2 linked regions of the Cricetulus griseus genome follow. The protein of the gene in region 1 interacts with the protein of each later gene in a pairwise test. Links are inferred from orthologs where the notes say so. Each region holds a gene or a part of one and is shown on either strand. Other genes may lie near its edges.

The links.
Region 2: the proteins of Flii (region 1) and Lrrfip1 interact in binary tests that used the Homo sapiens proteins (3 or more experiments, as listed by UniProt). The link is inferred for Cricetulus griseus from reciprocal best matches to the Homo sapiens genes FLII and LRRFIP1.

The regions. Positions count from the first base shown.
Region 1 is NC_048600.1:74,709,951-74,714,226, reverse strand, and holds the end of Flii (protein flightless-1 homolog), read left to right. Parts: intron 1-499; coding exon 500-604; intron 605-681; coding exon 682-873; intron 874-1,165; coding exon 1,166-1,354; intron 1,355-1,446; coding exon 1,447-1,586; intron 1,587-1,658; coding exon 1,659-1,899; intron 1,900-2,038; coding exon 2,039-2,193; intron 2,194-2,267; coding exon 2,268-2,328; intron 2,329-2,410; coding exon 2,411-2,539; intron 2,540-2,608; coding exon 2,609-2,715; intron 2,716-2,791; coding exon 2,792-2,897; intron 2,898-3,101; coding exon 3,102-3,167; intron 3,168-3,287; coding exon 3,288-3,422; 3' UTR 3,423-3,605; downstream 3,606-4,276. UniProt on the Homo sapiens protein: Is a regulator of actin polymerization, required for proper myofibril organization and regulation of the length of sarcomeric thin filaments. It also plays a role in the assembly of cardiomyocyte cell adhesion complexes.
Region 2 is NC_048595.1:442,611,768-442,615,581, reverse strand, and holds part of Lrrfip1 (leucine-rich repeat flightless-interacting protein 1), read right to left. Parts: intron 3,178-3,814; coding exon 3,007-3,177; intron 1,552-3,006; coding exon 1,459-1,551; intron 104-1,458; exon of another isoform or gene 89-103; coding exon of another isoform or gene 1-88.

The sequences.
Region 1 (4,276 bases):
AGAAACCCTGTCTCAAAAAGAAAAAAAAAAAAAAAAAAAAACCAACAAGCCCTTCAAGGGCTGCAGAGATGGCCTAGTGGCTAAAAGCACTTGTACTTCCAAAGGACCTGGGTTCAAGTCCCAGGACCCCACATGGCAGCTCTGGTTATAGGAGATTCAATATGCCTTCTGGCCTCCCTCCATAAGCACCAAGGATATATGCAATGCACATATATACAGGCACAATATGCCTACTTAAAAATAGTAATAAAGTTAAATGCCCTTCCACTGGCTTGGAATAGGACTCTATAGTAGAGCACTTGCCTGGTGTAGGCAAAACCCTACAACTGCTCCCTGCACTAGGAAAAAAGCCCAATGAACACTAGACCCATTGCTAGGAGCTCTTTAAAATGTAGTTCAGTTTGAAGGGAAGCAAGTCCAAATAGCAAGGTGGGGAGCCAGGCCCCAAATCAGAGCAAATGTGGTGGGGTCTGCTATACCTATCTCCTTCTCCTCCCAGGTGGGCCTGGGCCTGGGCTACTTGGAGCTTCCCCAGATCAACTACAAGCTGTCAGTGGAACATAAAAAACGGCCCAAGGTGGAACTAATGCCAGGAATGAGACTGGTGAGTTGGTAGGAGGCGTGCACGGGTTCTGTCTCCTATGTTGGCCAGGTGTTGACCTCCAGCCCCTTGTCCTACAGCTGCAGAGCCTGCTGGACACACGATGTGTGTACATCCTGGACTGCTGGTCTGATGTATTCATCTGGCTTGGCCGCAAGTCCCCAAGACTAGTGCGTGCTGCTGCACTCAAACTAGGTCAGGAGCTGTGTGGGATGCTGCACCGGCCACGCCATGCAGTGGTCAGCCGCAGCCTGGAAGGCACCGAGGCTCAGGTATACCCCCACACCCAGAGGCTTGCTTTCCATTGCACACTCTGCTGGCCTACTGGCACTACTGTGCTGCAAAGGTGGGTCCAAATCCACCTTGTTTGCAGAACCATCCACTCTGTAGCCTGTCTCCACTTCTTTTGCTAGGCTCCACCTTTCCAGGCTGTTTCCAGCTCTTGTTTAGACCCCACCCAGTTGACCTCTGACCAGCTTTTCCAAACCTTGCTTGAATCCCTCAGCCCCAACCTTAACTTTGCAGTACCTCTCCCCAGTTATGGCATTATACCATTCTCCACAGGTGTTCAAGGCTAAGTTCAAAAATTGGGACGATGTGTTGACAGTAGACTACACTCGAAATGCAGAGGCTGTGCTGCAGGGCCAGGGGCTCTCTGGGAAAGTAAAGCGTGACACTGAGAAGAAAGACCAGATGAAGGCTGACCTCACTGCACTCTTCCTGCCACGGCAGCCACCAATGGCACTGGCTGAGGTGGGATGGAGCCTTTGTGAGGGGGAGGTGTGAGGGGTAAGGGGGCTTTGCTCAGCATGGTGTTGAGACCTCACCTGGGGATGGGGTGACAGGCAGAGCAACTGATGGAGGAATGGAATGAGGACCTGGATGGCATGGAAGGCTTCGTATTGGAGGGCAGGAAGTTCACTCGACTGCCGGAGGAAGAGTTTGGCCACTTCTACACACAGGACTGCTATGTCTTCCTCTGCAGGTGCCATAATAATACTTTACCCTCTTGTCCTCTTCCCTATGCAACCCCTGCTCACCATTGTCTAAATCACAGGTACTGGGTGCCTGTGGAGTATGAGGAGGAAGAGAAGACGGAAGTCAAGGAGGGGAAGGCCTCGGTCCAGGGCACAGAAGGGGAGGAAGCAGAAGCTGAGGCAGAGGAGAAGCAGCCAGAGGAAGATTTTCAGTGCATCGTTTACTTCTGGCAGGGCCGGGAGGCCTCTAACATGGGCTGGCTCACCTTCACCTTCAGTCTTCAGAAGAAGTTTGAGAGCCTATTCCCTGGCAAGCTGGAGGTATGCCCTCCTACAAGCCCTGAGCTGTGCCCCATAGCCTATGGTTGGGATGGTAGTGTGATCAAACCAGACCTGAGGAGGCTTGACCCTTGAAAGGTAGGTAGGGTTTAGGAAACTACCCAGCACTTCCGATCCCCAGGTAGTACGTATGACACAGCAGCAGGAGAACCCCAAGTTCCTGTCCCATTTCAAAAGAAAGTTCATCATCCACCGGGGCAAGAGGAAGGCGGGCCAGGGTACTCTTCAGCCGAGCCTCTATCAGATCCGCACCAATGGCAGTGCCCTCTGCACCCGGTAGGTACCTAGAATGGGGAAAGGGCAGGATTCCATGATGGGGGTAACATTGCTGACCACCCCCTATTCCCTAGGTGCATCCAGATCAACACAGACTCCAGCCTTCTCAACTCTGAGTTCTGCTTCATCCTCAAGGTGAGGCTGTGGGCAGGACAGCAGAGCAGGGTGGTGGGCAAGAAATAATCTAGACCTAACCCAAGCCCTATGTACACCACAGGTCCCCTTTGAAAGTGAGGACAACCAAGGCATTGTGTATGCCTGGGTGGGCCGGGCATCAGACCCTGATGAAGCCAAGCTGGCAGAAGACATCCTCAACAGCATGTTTGATGCTTCCTACAGCAAACAGGTAACAGAGGTGGGGGCAGGCAGGAAGATGAGAGCAGAGGACAGTCCTGGCTAACACCCTTCTCCACAGGTCATCAATGAAGGTGAGGAGCCAGAGAACTTCTTCTGGGTAGGCATTGGTGCACAGAAACCCTATGATGATGATGCAGAGTACATGAAGCACACAAGGCTCTTCAGGTGAGTGCCCTGACCCCTCCTCTAGCTTCTTTAGTGCTGACACTTGCTTACCTTCACCTTAACCATTGCCCTTCAGGTGTTCCAATGAGAAGGGCTACTTCGCAGTGACTGAGAAATGCTCTGACTTTTGCCAAGATGACCTGGCAGATGATGACATCATGTTGCTAGACAATGGCCAGGAAGTAAGACATTCCCCCACCTCAGACCCTGCCCATTGGGTAAGGAGTTGTAGATGGAAACAGACGGTCCAGAGGGAAGCATTCCCACCAGCCGCATGCGGAGCACTTGAGTAGCATATACAAAGACCCCAGGTTCAGTTTTTAGCACTGTAAAACACCAAAAAGGCCAAGACACCCATGTGACCATTTCCTCCACTGTATCCTCAGGTCTACATGTGGGTTGGGACCCAGACAAGTCAAGTGGAGATCAAACTGAGTCTGAAGGCCTGCCAGGTAAGAAAGGGACAGCACTAAAGCCAGCCCATGACTTCAGGAACCACCTGCCCCCTCCCTCATCCTGGGCAGTCCAGCAGGACTCGGAGGACTACCTGGGCCCACTGTTTTCCTTACCAGGTATACATCCAGCACACACGCTCTAAAGAACATGAGCGGCCACGCCGCCTGCGCCTGGTCCGCAAAGGCAATGAACAGCGGGCTTTTACCCGCTGCTTCCATGCCTGGAGCACCTTCCGCCAAGCCCCAGCCTAAGCAGTTATCTATGACCTGAGACTCCAGTGAGGAAGAAGAGGCCTCCCAGCACATGTTTCAGCTACCCACCACTCTTGCCCACATCCTGCAAGCCCCACCAGCGTGTCCACATGTGTGCAGCAGACGTAGTTTAAAAGATATTAAATGCTTTTATTTTCAATATTAAAAAATCAGTACTTTTAATATTAAAACTAATTTTTAAAAAAAGACAGAAAGCCCAAGGTGGAGTCTACAGGGAAGCCCATCCTCACCACCCCACACACATGCACACACCCAACTGACTCCAGTTACGGTGCCTCGCAATTTCCAGTCACATGAGCATACACACAGGCCAGAAGCAAGTACCAAAACTGCTTTAGAAATTACTGGCCAGCGTAGTCCAGGCATTAGAAAAATACTCTGCTTGAGGAGAAATAAAGGACAGTATGGAGTGCAAGACAGAGGATCCTGGCACACTCCCTCCAGCTGACCTTCAAGCTGGGGGTGTCTTTAGGGCCCAGCATCAGTGAGACTGGATCCCACAGGTTAACAAGTGTGGGTTCAATGTTAAGGAGCTAGGCAAGGTGACAGTGAGCTGGGATAAGCAGATGGTGATGGCTAGGGAGAGCAAACCCAGGCCATACCAATCTGTGCAGGGCGGGCAGGCAGGCCCTTTAATGACAGCCTGAGGAAGGGCTTGCTGGGGATCTAGGAGGGAACCAAGTAACAGGATAGGAGTAGTATCTATGCCCAATGTAGGTTGCAGAGGCACTAGCTACCAAGGTCCAGATAGCTCCAGGTTCCAGCTAGGTTGGGTCCATAGCAGGATATGGTAGGCACATAAGCTCCATGTGCTGGCTCAACAGGCAGGACCT
Region 2 (3,814 bases), on another chromosome or scaffold:
GGATCTCCTGAGGAGAGGAACAGACAGAAAGAAAGCAGACAAAGGGTTGAGCAGAGAGAAGAATTCGGTGCTGGATGACCACGACCATGGTGAGGGACGGGTGGGTGGGGAGGTCTCACCACCCCCAGGATTCAGCAGCATGATAGGATCTTCTTCTTCTTCTTTTTTTTTTTGTTCTACTCTCAGTGCCCAGAAGAAAACCAGCCTGGCTGACAGCTTACCTCAAAGCCATACTTATAGTCCCGATTAAGTTACCAACCCTGTACCAGCCCCATACTGTCATGCTTTGCTTAATTGTAGGACATCAGTCTGAGAAAGTGTAGGTAGTTGAGCCCACCATTTTGCAAACATCATAAATTACGGATAATAGTGATGACTGCAATATCACTATGTAATAAAATCTATGGGGCCACTGTCATATGTGTGTCGCACTGCTGATCAGAATGCTATGTGGCACACACTCCTGCCAGTTTCCTCGTAACAAGTGACAACAGCTTCCGCGAAAGTCACGTGACTATATTCTCTCAGCTCTGAGACTGTTTTGAAAGAATCTTCTGAGGAGAGGATCAATAACCTTTTCTTTCCCAGTTCCTAGAACATCCGTTCTCAACCTGGGGGTCATGACCATGGGAAAACACAGATTTCTGATGGTCTTAGGAACTGAGACACCACCCAGCATCAAATCTCAGTTATGAAGTAGCAACGAAGGTAAGTTTATGGTTGGGGGTTCCCAAGATCATCAGAGACGATGTGCTTTTTGATGGTGGTGATCCACAGGTTGAGAACCACCGTCTTAAGCCTTGCACACATTCTTGCTTTGTGTTTCTTCTTCACAAGTTCTAACCTCGACTGCTCCTACCACAGCATCTGACGCGACTCCCTCTCGTGGGTACCTTGTGATTGTGTCAGAGCCACACAGATGATCAACGACAACCTTCCATCTCAAGGTCCGTTTGACTCACCTTTGAAATCTCCTTTTGTCCCATATTTACTTTAAGGGACTTAGGATGTGGACTTCTCAGAGGTGGGCATTAATTTGTCACACCTCCCAACACACACACATGAACACCAGAGTTGAGAGTCTTCACCCACAGGAGGAACCCTCTGCTCAAGGGATGGAAAGTTAGCCTGATCCCTGGACTTTAACTTTAGGGATTGCTACGAGCTGACTCCCTGGCCTCCAAGGTGACAAGTGTTTGGAGATAGTATCTTCAGAAGCATAAAGGTTAAATGACGTCATGAGGGTGGGTCCCAGGTTGGATAGGATGAGTGTCCATATTGAAAGCATACATTCTCTGTGCCCAAGGAGTCAACACCGACCTGGACTTTGGTCTCCAGAACTGTGAGGAAATACACACTTGTTGTCAAGGCCACCAAGTTTGTGGTATATTTGTTATAATAACCTGGGCTAAAAGAGCAAGGAACCGACAGAAAGGGAAGAAGAAAGGAGCTGCCCACCTCAAGCATCTCTTCCCTTTGCCTCAGGGCTTCTTTTACTTCGGCAAACTGGAACTGCAGGATGCTGTGGGCATGCTTCTCCCTCTCGAACTCCTGTGGGTGACGAGCACAGTACTGAGGCTGCGGTTCAGTGGCGTGTTTCTGTCACAGGTTCATGTTCTCATGAGCCACGTTTCCCACACGACAAACAACCCTTTACTACGTCATCACCATTTCCAAGGGGCACACGACACAAACTCATTTCTCTGCCCTCCATAGAGGACGATCAGACAGTTTCCTCTAAAGTTAATCCTCAGATTGTGTGCAGTTGACAAGTATTTCCCAAACCTCTCTTGATAAGATGTGTTCCAGGAGCCAGGTGGTGGTGGCACACGCCTTTAATCCCAGCACCTAGGTTGGCCTCAAACTCACAGAGATTCGCCGGCCTCAGCTCCCTGAGTGCTGAGATTAAAGGCGTGCACCACCACCGAGCCGCTATATACATGCTTTTTCATGGTTGTTTTATTTTCATGCAAAATACCAACATTCTAGTAAAACTCTCTAGTTTACACATTGAAACTATGCATTTCAAATTATTCAGAGAAAAGCACAGATGTCTGAGTTTTATATGTATATATGTAAATGTGTGTGTGCATAGGTTTGTGGAAGCCAGAAGTTTACCTTGGGTGTCATTCTTCAGGAGCTGTCATCCTTGAGTTTTGTTTTTCTTTTTAAGATTGATTTTATTATTCTTACTTATGTATATGTGTATGGGTCTTTGCACATATGTGCAGATGCCCACAGAGGCCACAGCCATCAGATCCCTGGAGCTATTGTTACAGGTATTGGAGAGCCACAAGAGTGCTGGGAACCAAACATGCCCCCCCCCCCCACCCCAGACAGCATGCACTCCTCTGCACTGGGCCATCTTTCCAGCCCTGACCTTGGTTTTTGAGAAAGGGTTTCTTCTGGTCAGAAGCTGGCTGATTCAGTTAGTCTGGCTACTCAGTAAGCACCAGAGACCACCTGTCTCTGCCTCTCCAGCTGGGATTACAAGCACATGCCACCACAGATGCTGAGGACTGACCTAAGGTCTGATGCAGCAAATGCTTTGCAGAGTAAGTTACCTCCCCTGCCCATGGGATTGTTTTGTTTGGCAATGGAGTCCTGTTAAGTCAGTCTCAGACTTGCAATTCTCCTGCCTCAGCCTCCTACATGCTGGAATCATAGCTATTGCCACCACGTATGACAAAGACACAGTATTCTAAATCTCGGACTCTGGGCTTCCTGGACAAGTGGAGAATCACTGTTTAAAAAGCAGTTTGGAGAGACAGCTCAGCAGTTAAGTGCATATACTGCTTATGTAGAAAGCCGGGGTTCAATTTTTAGCACCCACATCAAGCATCTCACAACTGCCTGTAACTCCAGCTCTAGGGGATCCTACACCCTCCTCTGGCCTCTGCAAGCTAGTGTACACCCCTCCCCCATAGTTAGCAAAAATAAAAATCCTTAAAAAATATAAGGATTTACACAGCTCCCCCTAGCATTCCTGAGCAGGGTGGTACTTACCTTGTTCTTCTCCTCATACTGTCTCTGGGACTCGGCCAGCTGCTCTTCCAGCTCCAGCAGCATGTCCTTCAGTGTGTCTACCTGGTACATGAAGTTGGTCTTCTCGTTGTCTAGCTGGGCATTGGAGACCATGGCCTTCTTGTACTTCTCCTCAACTTCGGCCAGCGAGTCCTGAAGAAATGAGGCCATCATTTCAAAACCGCAAAAAGGAAAACAAGCTGAGATTAAGCCAGAGTTCTTTTCCAATCTCAGCCTTTGTTTCTTAGATTAGAAGAGACACAGTGCCATTTTAAATGCACAGAGCCCACCTTTCAATGTCCCTTCCACTCAGATAAGTAATTTTTCCGCTGTGGGGGGAGAGCAACTGTAGCCTGTGGCTTGCCTGTGGGGAATTATGTTAACTAGATTAACTGAGGCGGGAAGGCCCACCCTAAATGTGGGCCATCCCTGAACTGGGCCATCCCTGAGCCTTGCATAGAAATAAGAAAGGGAACACCAGCCAGCCCTCATGACTCTGCTTGTGGACTACACAGGCAACGTGACCAGCTCCCTCTCGTTCTTGCCCCCAGGACTCCCTTCCATGATAGACTATATCCTTCATCTGTGAACCAAAATAAACCACTTCTCCTTTAAGTTGCCTTTGTCATGGCATTTTGTAGCAGCAGCAGGAAAAGTAGCTAGCAGTGATCTATCTTCTCCTTAAGACAAGGAGGTGTGTGGGATGCTGGTTGCTCAGGGAAGCAGCACAGCCACTCACTGACTTCTTCTGATTCAGCAGCCAGGACCTTTCCACCATGGGCCATGGCAG